Oryctolagus cuniculus: one gene and its partners. The protein of the gene in region 3 interacts with the protein of the main gene of each other region in a pairwise test. Links are inferred from orthologs where the notes say so. Each region holds a gene or a part of one and is shown on either strand. Other genes may lie near its edges.

What was found.
Region 1: the proteins of NCOA6 (region 3) and ESR2 interact in a two-hybrid assay, tested with the Homo sapiens proteins (3 studies listed by BioGRID). The link is inferred for Oryctolagus cuniculus from reciprocal best matches to the Homo sapiens genes NCOA6 and ESR2.
Region 2: the proteins of NCOA6 (region 3) and NR1H2 interact in a two-hybrid assay, tested with the Homo sapiens proteins (2 studies listed by BioGRID). The link is inferred for Oryctolagus cuniculus from reciprocal best matches to the Homo sapiens genes NCOA6 and NR1H2.

What each region holds. Positions count from the first base shown.
Region 1 is NC_091451.1:6,217,665-6,221,306, forward strand, and holds part of ESR2 (estrogen receptor beta), read left to right. Parts: intron 1-1,128; coding exon 1,129-1,309; intron 1,310-3,464; coding exon 3,465-3,642.
Region 2 is NC_091449.1:7,476,761-7,480,951, forward strand, and holds the start of NR1H2 (oxysterols receptor LXR-beta), read right to left. Parts: upstream 2,943-4,191; 5' UTR 2,788-2,942; intron 2,685-2,787; 5' UTR 2,550-2,684; intron 2,159-2,549; 5' UTR 2,140-2,158; coding exon 2,097-2,139; intron 2,010-2,096; coding exon 1,878-2,009; intron 1,750-1,877; coding exon 1,459-1,749; intron 977-1,458; coding exon 714-976; intron 608-713; coding exon 428-607; intron 1-427. UniProt on the Homo sapiens protein: Nuclear receptor that exhibits a ligand-dependent transcriptional activation activity. Binds preferentially to double-stranded oligonucleotide direct repeats having the consensus half-site sequence 5'-AGGTCA-3' and 4-nt spacing (DR-4).
Region 3 is NC_091442.1:23,361,787-23,365,428, reverse strand, and holds part of NCOA6 (nuclear receptor coactivator 6), read right to left. Parts: coding exon 2,267-3,642; intron 1-2,266. UniProt on the Homo sapiens protein: Nuclear receptor coactivator that directly binds nuclear receptors and stimulates the transcriptional activities in a hormone-dependent fashion. Coactivates expression in an agonist- and AF2-dependent manner.

The DNA of each region.
Region 1 (3,642 bases), on a different chromosome or scaffold from region 3:
TTAACATCACATTCACCCTTTGAGTTATGATCACCTGAGAACAGACTTGAATGCGTGCAGATTCAGGCTGCTCCCTCCAGTAGGTAAGGACTTGCTGCACCCTGGGCGTCGTGGTTGCTGATGGGAATGAAATGACAAACAGGCAGAGCCTGTGTCCTCAGAGCACTTTCTGTCCAGCGCTGCTGCCAGTGAGAGGCGGCTGGGTGGTGGCTGAGGGCTGTGGGGCAGTGTGGCGCCTCTGCGCTGCTGCCGATGTGGGGAGCACTCAAGCCCTCCTTACGCTGTGGTGGTAGGGAGGTCGGGAAGCTTCTAGAAGGAAGTTCATGGTGAGGCTGGGATCGAAGGGAGGAATGTGTATCAGTACACGAGACGGGAAGGGAGTGCGGAGCCAGGACCGCGTCCCGAGCAGGAAGTTGAGCCTCCGCAGCAGCGCCCCGTCCAGGAAGCTCAAAGAGGAATTCAGCATCAGGTCGCGTCGGCTGCAAGACGACAGGATCAGATCCTGGAGCCGGGGCTGGCAGGATCGGCTGCTTACGGTGCCCAAGCAGCGGTGGACCTGTAAGCTTTGCTCTACGAGGAGCCGGGTCCCTTCACAGGGCTGGAGAGGGGTGCAGAGCCTGACCCCAACCCCGGGGTCTCCCTGCCCCAGCACCGTGCCGAGGACCCAGGCAGAGGCGGCGCGGCTGCGTGGGGCATGTGGGGCACGTGAGGGCTGGGCAGCGGGGCTTTGCAGCAGCGGCCTGAGCTTACATGTGTTAAACTCCCCCGAGCTGAGGAGCCTCCCGTCCTGATGGTCCCTGTGCGTGCATGTGCTGCAGCCGAGAAACCCCACGTGCTGATTGGAGGTGCCTGGATACATTCACTGCTGTGCCGAGGGCACCGTTGGGCCGGGTGGGCACTCTGGGAGGTCATTTAGTCGGCTGTGTGTGCAGCCAGGCTTCCCTTCTGCTGGCGCTGGCTCGGGAGGAGCCCCCGGGAGAGGGAAGCTATGCTCCGGAGGGCGTGCCCGTGTGGCTGGCAGAGCAGTGCCCGTCAGCACGGCCTCCTGGAGAACGTAGGTGGCTTAGCGGCCGAGCCCAGGACTCGCTTTGCTCAGCGGTGACTTGGGGGCTGTGACTCTTTGTCCAGGTATGTGCCCTCTGGCTGCGGCCGCCCAGGAGGCTGAGAGCAGCCGGAAGCTGACTCACCTGCTGAACGCCGTGACCGACGCTTTGGTCTGGGTGATCGCCAAGAGCGGCATCTCGGCCCAGCAGCAGTCGGTCCGCCTGGCCAACCTCCTGATGCTCCTCTCCCACGTCAGGCATGCCAGGTACGGGCCCAGGGCCATCCCCGGGGACGAGGGGTGGGGCCTGCTTGGAGGAGGGGCGCAGGTTTGGGGGGGTGGGTCAGGTAGAGTTGTCACCTTTTCAGGACAGTGAAACCCTTAAAAGGGGTAGGGGTGGGTCATCAATTCACATGCCTGTCACCAGGGAGCAGCACAGAGTGGGTGTTGGATCCGTGTCCCATGCAGCCTTGCAGGCTCATGTGTGTTTAGGTGCTGGGGCTCAGAGCTTGTCTGGAGTCTTGTGGTGAGTAGTTCTTTCCCTAAAATGAGCCACAGCCCCGTGGCCTGCCCACACCAGCCACGGCTGACACTGAGGTCGTTTCCACAAAGTGGCTAAGTCTGGTTTTCCCATGGTGCCTCGGGCCTGCCCCGGGTTCCTCCTTTCTTCCTGTGGCATCGGGACTTTAAGGCTGAGCAGAAGAGAGAACTGGCACATCCCAGGGCGGGAAACGTGAACGTGGACGCAGCAGGGACACTGGTGCTCGGTGCCCTTGTGGGGAGGAGGGTCACCTCAGGGATTCTCACGGAGGGAGGAAGTGTGGAGGCCTCTCCCCTGCAACCGTTTGCAGCACAGAGCTGGCCGACTGTTAGTGTTTGCAGCTCCCGTGGGAGGGTGCGTCGCAGTGTAGGGAGGAAATGTGAATTATGAAAAAAGCCTGCATTTCAAACTTATTTTTTTAAAAAAATTTTATTTATTTATTTATTTATTTTTTTGACAGGCAGAGTGGACAGTGAGAGAGAGAGACAGAGAGAAAGGTCTTCCTTTGCCGTTGGTTCACCCTCCAATGGCCGCCGCGGCTGGCGCGCTGCCGCCGGCACACTGCGCTGATCTGATGGCAGGAACCAGGTACTTATCCTGGTCTCCCATGGGGTGCAGGGCCCAAGGACTTGGGCCATCCTCCACTGCACTCCCTGGCCACAGCAGAGAGCTGGCCTGGAAGAGGGGCAACCGGGACAGAATCCGGCGCCCCGACCGGGACTAGAACCCGGTGTGCTGGCGCCGCAAGGCGGAGGATTAGCCTAGTGAGCCGCGGCGCCAGCCTCAAACTTATTTTAAAAATATTTATTTTAGTTATTTGAAAGACAGAGTTACAGGGAGAGGTAGAGACAGAGAGATAGAGAGAAGTCTTCCTCTGCTGGTTCACTCCCCAGATGGCTGCAATGGCCGGAGCTGCGCCAGTCTGAAGCCAGGAGCTTCTTCCGGGTCTCCCATGTGGGCCTGCTTTCCCAGGCCACAGCAGAGAGCTGGATCGGAAGTGGAGCAGCCGGGACTCAAACTGGCACCCATACAGGATACCGGCACTTCAGGCCGGGACTTTAATCCACTGTGCCACAGCGCTGGCCCCTCAAACCTCTTCAAACCAAAGTTAACTTACTTTTTATTCCATTTTTCCATGGACTCTTTGACCTACCCTCGCGTTTGCGCGTTCACCTGCTTGCTACAACGCACTCGTGCAGCAGTCCTGAGCAGGCTGACACACAGATCCCCAGCAGAGGCCGCGTGGGCAGGGCCTCTGCCCTTTTGTTTGGGCACTCACGCCGTGAAATGTCCTCTACACGATCTGTTTCGTGCTGTGTTTTCCTATTTTTGTGGATGGCTTTTGTTGTCTAAAATGGTGCCCCAGCCCCATGCTGAAGTACCGTCCGTTTCCTGGTGCATGGAGGCTGTGATGTGCCTCCCGGAGAAACACACCGTAGAGAAGCTTTGTTCAGATTTGAGTGACGGTGCCGTTAGCCGTGCGTTCACTGTTACTTTATCCACATTACATGCCACGCAAGGTGTCTTTAAACAGGAACGCACGTAACAGAAGGTTACGTGTCGACTGGCTGAGGAAGATGTGACTAGAAACCCCGTAGGAGCAGGGGTTCAGTGCTCACTAATCAGTGTTCAGTAATGAGACGCCGTCATCCTGTGTTCCAGGAGCCGTATCCGGCCACGGTGGGTGGGCGGTGGGACACAGAGGTGGACAGGGCGTTGTCCTCGCCCTCGAGTGGTGGACACCGGAGCCTGGAACAGTGGGCTGGGGAAGCGGGAGGGGTCGGGCTGGGGTGGCCTGGCCCTGCGCTGCAGAGCTGGGGACGTCGGCCCTCCCACGGCTGTTGCTGGGGGCTGACGCTCAGTGCCCTTGTGTCCCCGCAGTGACAAGGGCATGGAACACCTGCTCAGCATGAAGTGCAGAAACGTGGTCCCGGTGTACGACCTGCTGCTGGAGATGCTGAACGCCCACACGCTGCGTGGGCACAGGCCCGCGGCCACGGCGCCCGCGCCCGGCCCGGCCGAGGACAGGAAGGGCGCAGAGGGGCCCCAGAACCCGCAG
Region 2 (4,191 bases), on a different chromosome or scaffold from region 3:
CTCCCGGCCCCTGTGCGGGCGCAGCCCCAGGGCTCCCGGTCCCTGTGTGGGTGCTACCCTGGACTCCCAGCCCCTGTGCGGGTGCTGCCCTGGACTCCCGGCTCCTGTGCGGGCGCAGCCCCAGGGCTCCCGGTCCCTGTGTGGGTGCTACCCTGGACTCCCAGCCCCTGTGCGGGTGCTGCCCTGGACTCCCGGCTCCTGTGCGGCGCTGCCCCGGGCTCCCGGGCCCTGTGCGGGTGCTGTCCCGGACTCCCAGCCCCTCTGCGGGTGCTGCCCCGGGCTCCCGGCCCCTCTGCGGGTGCTGCCCCGGGCTCCCGGGCCCTGCGCGGGCGCTGCCCCGGGCTCCCGGGCCCTGTGCGGGTGCTGCCCCGGACTCCCGGCCCCTGTGCGGCGCTGCCCGGGGCTCGGGCCTGGCACTGGCTGTTACCTCGATGGTGGACGCCTTCAGGAGCGCGATCTGGTCCTCGCGGCCCAGCTGCAGGAAGCCGGGCACCTGCTTGGCGAAGTCCACGATCTCCTGCACCGAGATGATGGCCAGCTCCGTGAAGTGGGCGAAGCGCTGCTGCCGGGCGTCGCGGGACTGGGGGTCCGCGCCCAGGGGCCAGGGCTGCGACACGGGAGACCGGTCACGCCAGGACCCCGGCGCTGACCCCGAGGCCAAGCCCGCGGCCTCCGCCTCCCGGCCCGGCCGCCCGAGGCTGGGCGGGCAGTACCGTGACTTTGGGCTGGTCAGAGAAGGAGCGCTTGTTGCACTGCAGCTGGGCGGCCACCAACTGCTGGATCATCAGCTCCTGGGCCGCTGTGAGCTGGACGCCCTCGCCTTCGCCGCAGCCCTGGCCGCTGGCTTCCGCACCCCCGGGGGACGCCCCCGGCGCGCCGGCCGAGCCGCTGCTGCCCCCCGGCTCCCCAGGCACCGGCTGCTGCTGCTGCTGCCTCCGAATCTTCTTCTTCCGGATCTGCTCCTCAGAGAGGACGCCTGGAACGGAGCCAGCGCTCAGCCGGCGGGGGCGTGGCCGGGCGGGGGCGTGGCCGGGCGGGGATGACCGGCTGGGCGGGTCGGGGTGTGGCCAGGTTCGGGGTAAGGCCAAGGCCGGCACAGTTGGGGATGGGGTAGCGCCCCGCCCCCACACTACTCCAGCATCCTGGCCTCCTTGAATTTGCAAGGGTTGGGGGCGTGGCCAGCGGGGCGTGGCCTGTCGGAGGCGGGGACAGGGCATGAGAGGGCCGGGGCCGACCGGGGATCGGGGCGTGGCCAGGGCGGTTGGGGTGTGGCCGGTCTGGGGAGGTGGCCAGGCCTTGGCCTGGTCGGGCCGAGCCCTCCCCACCCTGCACACTGCTCCCGCATCCCGGTGCCTCGCACTAGCGAAGGCCGGGGGATGTGGACGGGGCAGGGGCGTGACCGAGGGGGCGTGGGCGGGGCGGGGCGGGGCTTGGCCGACCCTCCCCACCCGCACTCACACTGCTCCCGCATCCCGGCCTCCTTGCATTTGCGCAGCCGGCACAGCTGGCACTTGCGCCGCATGAAGGCGTCCATCTGGCAGGCGCCGCCGCCGCGGCAGGCGTAGCGGCCGGCGCCGCCGTGGACCACGCTGCGCCGGAAGAAGCCCTTGCAGCCCTCGCAGCTGAGCACGTTGTAGTGGAAGCCCGAGGCCTTGTCCCCGCACACGCGGCACAGCTCGTGGCCCAGCATCTTCGGCGCCGGGCCCTTCTTCCGCTTGCGCTCCGGCTCCTCCTCCGGCTCCACGGCGACTGGGCGGGCGGGCGGGCGGACAAGGCGGTGAGGGGCCGCAAGGAGCGGGCGGCGCGTGCGCCCCAAAGAAGCGAGGCAGGGCCTCCCTCTGCCCTGCTGCCCACAGCCGTCCCGGGCCCCGTCTCACCCACGACGCAGGCTGAGCCGGCCTCATCGCTGCCTGGCACAGCAGGGTCCGCGGCCTCGGGCCAGGGCTCGGGACCCTCTTCCTTCACGGCGGGCGAGGGGGAGGAGGTGCCGGGCTGCGCGGGGCCATCTCCTGGGGGACGGGGAGACGCGGCGCGGTGAGCTCCTCCGGCCGTGCGGCTGCTCCGACCGGGGCTGGGCGAGGCACAGGGCCACTCACCAGGCGGGGCAGTGTCCAAGGAGGTCGTGGTGGGGGAGGACATGGTGGGGTCACGGAGCAGCCTGCACAACACAGGGGGGCAACGCAGGACTGGGTCAGGCCAGCTGCGGGTTCTGATGAGGGGGCCCCTTTATTCCAGCTCCCCCAGGCTCCGACTACTGCACAGGGACCCCAGCCCCAGCCGGCCGCCAGACGCTTCCCACCCATGCTCCAACTTGCAGTGTGGCCTTAAGTCCCGCCCCCTTTACAGGCCCCGCCCCAGGCCCCACCCACCTGCTCGCCCATCACTGTCCATTCTCCTTGGGGCTCACTCTGCCCGTCAGTCACAGCCCACCTGCTCTTAGCACACCTCCCCCCAACCCAACTCCGTCTCTCATTCTGATTTTTCTCAGGCCCCGCCCACCACAACACCTAGCCCCGCCCCCGCCCCTCCCGCAAGCCCCGCCCCATCACCTCGCTCCAGGTCCCGCCCCTCTCCGAGCACCAGTGGGGGGCGGGGCTCATGGCTGCGCGCGGGGACTTGTGGGCGGCCTCTCGCGTGGGGGGGTCTCCTCCCGTTGCCCTGGAAACAGCCGGGGGATGCGCAAGCTACGGAGGGGAGCGGAGGGAAGAGAGAAGGGGGTTCGTCGGAGCTGCTGGGGGCTCCTCCTGCGTCTCCCCACTCCCAGTGCTCCTGTCTCCGCCCCCTTACTCGGCTCCTCTTCCTCCGGGGCCGTAGCCCCTGACACGCCGCCGCCACCAGAGTCCCCTCAAAAGTAACTTCGCCACTTCTTCCGGCAACCCCGCCATGCGTCACTTCCGGAAGGGGTGGGGCGCGAAGGGTGACGGACTTCCGGTCCGCTGGGGGCCGGCCGAGTCGGCCGCCCCGCACGGAAGTGGTGCGCTCGCCGGAAGTGTGCGCCGCCGTGTGGCTCCGCTGGGGGGTGCGGAAGAAGAGTTCCGGGGAGTTGTGGGGGACCGCGGTCCGGCGTGGCGTGGCCGGCCCCGGACCGCGCGGTTGGCCTATCGCGCCCATCCTTGGTCCTGCGGCCGGAGAGCCGGGTCCGCAGACACCCCCAGCAGCGGCAGCGTCCCTCCCCGTGACTGGTGAAAACACGCAGTGCACGTTTGCGGAGTTTGTGGGCTGGCAGCTTCGGGGTTTTCAATGAGCTGAAATACGAACTTGGGCCGGGAAAACGTATGCGGCAAACCCTAACTTTGCTGCTGGAAGCGTTTGTAAAAGTCCAGGCTCTCCAGACCACAAGGGTCAAAGTAAAGTGTTGGCTGTGGCACGTTCCCCGCGGGGCGCGTGGACGGGGCGGGCTGGGCGCTCGGCGCCCGGATTCCGGCTGCGGACGAGCTCGGTGCTCTGCCCTGAGCCAGGCCGGCTCGCAGGGGAGCCCCTGCGTCTCCTCTGCCCGGGCTGTGCGGGCGAACCAGGCGTTTCCGAAAGCCTGGGGCTGGGGGGCCGTGGCTCCTCAGCCGGGGCGTGGCGGCTCGGGGAGATGCTGCCCGGCATCCCTGAGCCTTCGGGCCGCGCCGGCTCTGCCATCGGACCTCGCAGCAGGCCTCGTGGGCCACGCGCGATGGACGCTGACCGAGGTTCACACACGAGGCCCGACACACAGCCGAACTACATTCCCCAGCGGCCCACGCGGCCTGCTGGTCACGTGACGGGGTCCAGCCAATGGAAAGGGAGCAAAAGTACCAGGGGCTTGTAGGAGGCTGTGTGTGGAGCCTCAATCTGGTCCCAATCCGCCGTGTGCCGGAGGCCTTGTCTCGGCGAGCGCGGGCAGGGGCAGGCGGGGAGCCAGCCCTTGTTCTCCCGCGGCACCGGTCGGGGAGCTGCCCGCGGCCTCGGCGCCCGGCATGGCGGGACCCGTGGCGGGAACGCGGGTGCACACCGCCACCGTGCGGCCGCCTGCGGTTTTGCAGACAAGGCCTCCGAGAAATGACCCCTGGGTGCGGGGCGCGGGGCGACGCGACCTGGGCCCGAGCGAGTCGGGGTGGGGGGCGGCGGGGAGGGTCGTCGATCCTGCCCAGGGCAGGCTGTGCCGAAGGAGGCTCCGAGCCGACATTGGCGAGGGTCTGCTGTGTGGCAGGTGCTCTCCCAGGT
Region 3 (3,642 bases):
CATTTCATCATTATTCTCTTGGTACCAGAGGGATAAGTTCCCTGAAAGGAAGTAGAAATGGAAACACTTAGTAGCAGCAAACATATTTAACTCATACCAAATTTCTTTTTAACTCTTAAGATTCACTTGCATCAACAGAACTAGGAGCAGAAACACAGAGCCCCTAGCTCTGTAAGGTCTCTACCTCCTAGAAAGATATTGAATGCCCTCAAGGCCTCTATCCCTCCTGTACCTCTAACAGCAAGGTAAAGAGGCAGAGAGAAAGGGAAATGACCTTTCTGGAGCTCTGTATGGGCAGGGTGCTGGCCACTTGATGTTAAGTCCTCTCATTGAATCTGCATACAAATTATGAGATGTAACAATGATAATCTCCACTTAACTGACATGTTAAGTACATGGCTTCAGACAGGTTAAGAAACTTAAGCAACTTCAATTGGTAACCAGCAGGGCTAAAACTTGAACTCTGATCATATTCTGAAGATTGTTCTTCCTGTCTCCTCCTGGGTACGTAAACTCACCAGTGGGCACTCAAAGCATACTGGATACATAAATAAGACAGCCTTACTAGCTGGCCTAGCGTATCACAAAGATCCTTCCCATCTCTGGTGTATGGCTGAGTCACCTCTGGGGAGGAAGAGCTTCTGCAGCACGTAAGCCTCAACAAAGGACAAACGTGTGGGGAGGGGAAGCAAGAAAAGGAAGGAGGGGCGATGCAAGGAGCCCCATCCTGTCATCAGCAGCCCACCTGAACAGCATATAGGAAATAATCCCAACTGGGTATCTATGAAAGGAATGGACCGATTTACAGACAGTGCATCAAAAAGGAACTGGTATTAATTTTAACCACTTATCAAACAGTTACTATGTTCTAGGCTCCACTCTAAGCAAGTTACATGCATTCCTTCATTCAATTCTATTGTCCCCACATAACAAAGGAGAAAACTGGAATTTGGGAGTAGTCCAGCAACATACTCAAGCCTACACATCCAGTAAGTGCTGGCACTGTGACACCAGCTGTACCTATCCTGTTAACTACTTTGTTCCTCATAGGTCTGTTATGAAACTTGAATGTCTAGAACACTCTCCTTTGGGGTAGCCCAGAAAGGGAATGGTCTTGGAGTATAAGAATAGGGGGCAGTATTGTGGCATAGTGGGTTAAGCCGCTGCCTGCAGTGTTGGCATCCATATTGGTGCTGGTTCACATCCTGGCTGCTCCACTTTTTTTTTTTTTTTAAAGATTTATTTTATTTATTTGAAAGGTAGAGTTACAGACAATGAGAGGGAAAGACAGAGAGAAAGGTCTTCCCTCCGTTGGTTCACTCCCCAGATGGCCTCAACGGCTAGAGCTGCACCAGTCTGAAGCCAGGAGCCAGGAGCTTCTTCCTGGTCTCCTATGTGGGTGCAGCGGCCCAAGCATTTGGGCTATCTTCTATTGCTTTCCCAGGCCATAGCAGAGAGCTGGATTGGAAGAGGGGCAGCCAGTACTAGAACCAGTGCTTGTATGCAGGTGGAGGATTAACCCACTGCGCCATATACTGTGCCATGAAGCTGGCCCCAGCTGCTCCACTTCTGATCCAGCTCCCTGCTACTGTGCTTGGGCCCCTGAGCCCACATGGGAGACCCAGAAGCAGCTCCTGGTTCCCGGCTTTGGCCTGGTTCAGCCCTGGCCATTGCATCCGTTTGGGGGATGAACCAGCAGATGGAAGATCTCTGTCTCACTTTCTCTCTGTATAACTCTGCCTTTCAAATAAATAAATCTTTTTTTTTTTTTAAAGGTATGAGGATGGGGTTTCAAAAATCCTGCTCTGAAACAGTCATGAGCAAGCCTTCATTATGGTCGGGGAACCTGCAGAAGCAGCTTTTCATACTTAGGGGACATTGGAGGGTCCACAGCAGAGACTTCGAACAAATACTGAACTTCAATCTGAGCTCCAGTCCTCTCACCCACAGGATGACTTCAAGATTACTTGCTATGGTTGGCATGCTGATGTGATAATGCACATAGAGACGCTTCCTTGTAAACTCAGAAACTTTCACATAAGTGAAAGGAGCAGAGACAGAATCATGTTAATGAAGCTAAACTTACCATGGGATTTGAAAGCATATTTCCCAATGTACTTCCAATAAATAGAACTAATACTATATCTATTTAAGTCCATTCTTCCACCAAGTAGAAAAGGAGTAATGCTTTTGTGGGATAGGTTAAAAAAAAAAAACAAACCCTTCTGGCGTGAGATGACGTCCCGTCCACGTCCTGAGTACATACCTATGCTGGGCAGGAGTTCTGGATGGGGTCCCACCTTCTCCTCCACTAGGCCACCTGCAAGTGGCTCAGATGCTATGCCACCATGATTGCTTTTTGTGGTTGGTGCCGCAGAGATGAGCTCAGAGGGTACTAGAGTGGTTACTATCGAGCGTACGCTGGTAGGGAGAGCACCGCCAGGTAAGCTGGGTCCTGCTGAGGCAGAGCCTGGGCCCACAGGGCTGGAGGTCATTTTTAGCAGAGTGGGTGCTGGAGGCGTTGGGGTTTTACTGTCCAGCTCTGTAGATAACTGCTCTGTTCCCACGAGCCCCAGAGCTGGGGTCTCTAGCCCTTGGCCTTCAGTCTCTCCATCTGCAGCATATTGCTCTTCTCCTTTCTCGAGAGAGCCTGTAACTTTCTTACATGCCTTGGTCAGCAAAATCTGGCCAATTTTGTCCACTTTTCCTTTTCCCTTACTGGAGGAGACTGGGCTTCGCCGGTTGACAGAGGAGCCTGGGCTGTTGGTCAAAAGGGGAGAAACCATTGTGGTTGACTGTGAAGAGGACAGAGTGCTCTGATCTGCTGAGGTGCTCACCTGAGGACTGGCCTCGTCTGAATTCAATTCTTTCACTTGCTGGACAGGGGGATGAGGAGGGACAACTGGAGAAGATGTACAAGGGGGAGAAGGAAGCTGAACAGGAGTGGCTCGTGAGTTAAGGACCAGTGGTCGTCCTGTCTGTACATTTGGAGCAGGACTACTAGAGGGGGCATTAGGCGGTATAGGAGCAGAAGAAAACTTTATGTTCTGAGGTATGTGTAAAGGACCAACGACTGCAACGGAGGGAGGCATCAGACCAGAGTTGGTGGTCAGAGGGGCTGCAGGAATTGTGCTTGGCTGTGATCCTTTCATAACCTGAATTATTGAGGATGAATTGATAAAGACAGGTGTAATGAACTGAGGCCGGGCATTAGACTGAGCAGCTGACTGTCCCTCAGAAACCATAACCTTGCTACCCACATTGGGCATCGTGACGACCGTTGACATCAGAGCAGACTGCAAGTGAGTTGGCAGAGCTGCTGATGTGTTAGCTGAAGTTGTGATGGGATTGGAAGTGACAAACACAGTTATTTGATTTGGGGGCAAAGGAGCAGAAATGGAGGAAGAGCTGACAGGTCTTGACATTACTGGAGGGAGGCTTGGTGCAACATTAGAACTGACCTCACTCAATTCTGGATGCACAAGGGCTGAACACGGCTCATTGTTGTGAGGTAAGTTTAGGGAACTAGAGGGTTCTTTAGAAGATGACGGATCCTGTAGTGTGGGAACAACAGATGCTTTTTTGAGGTCCTCACCAGAAACTACTGGAGGTGTTACTTCCATATCTGTAAGCCCAGGGGGT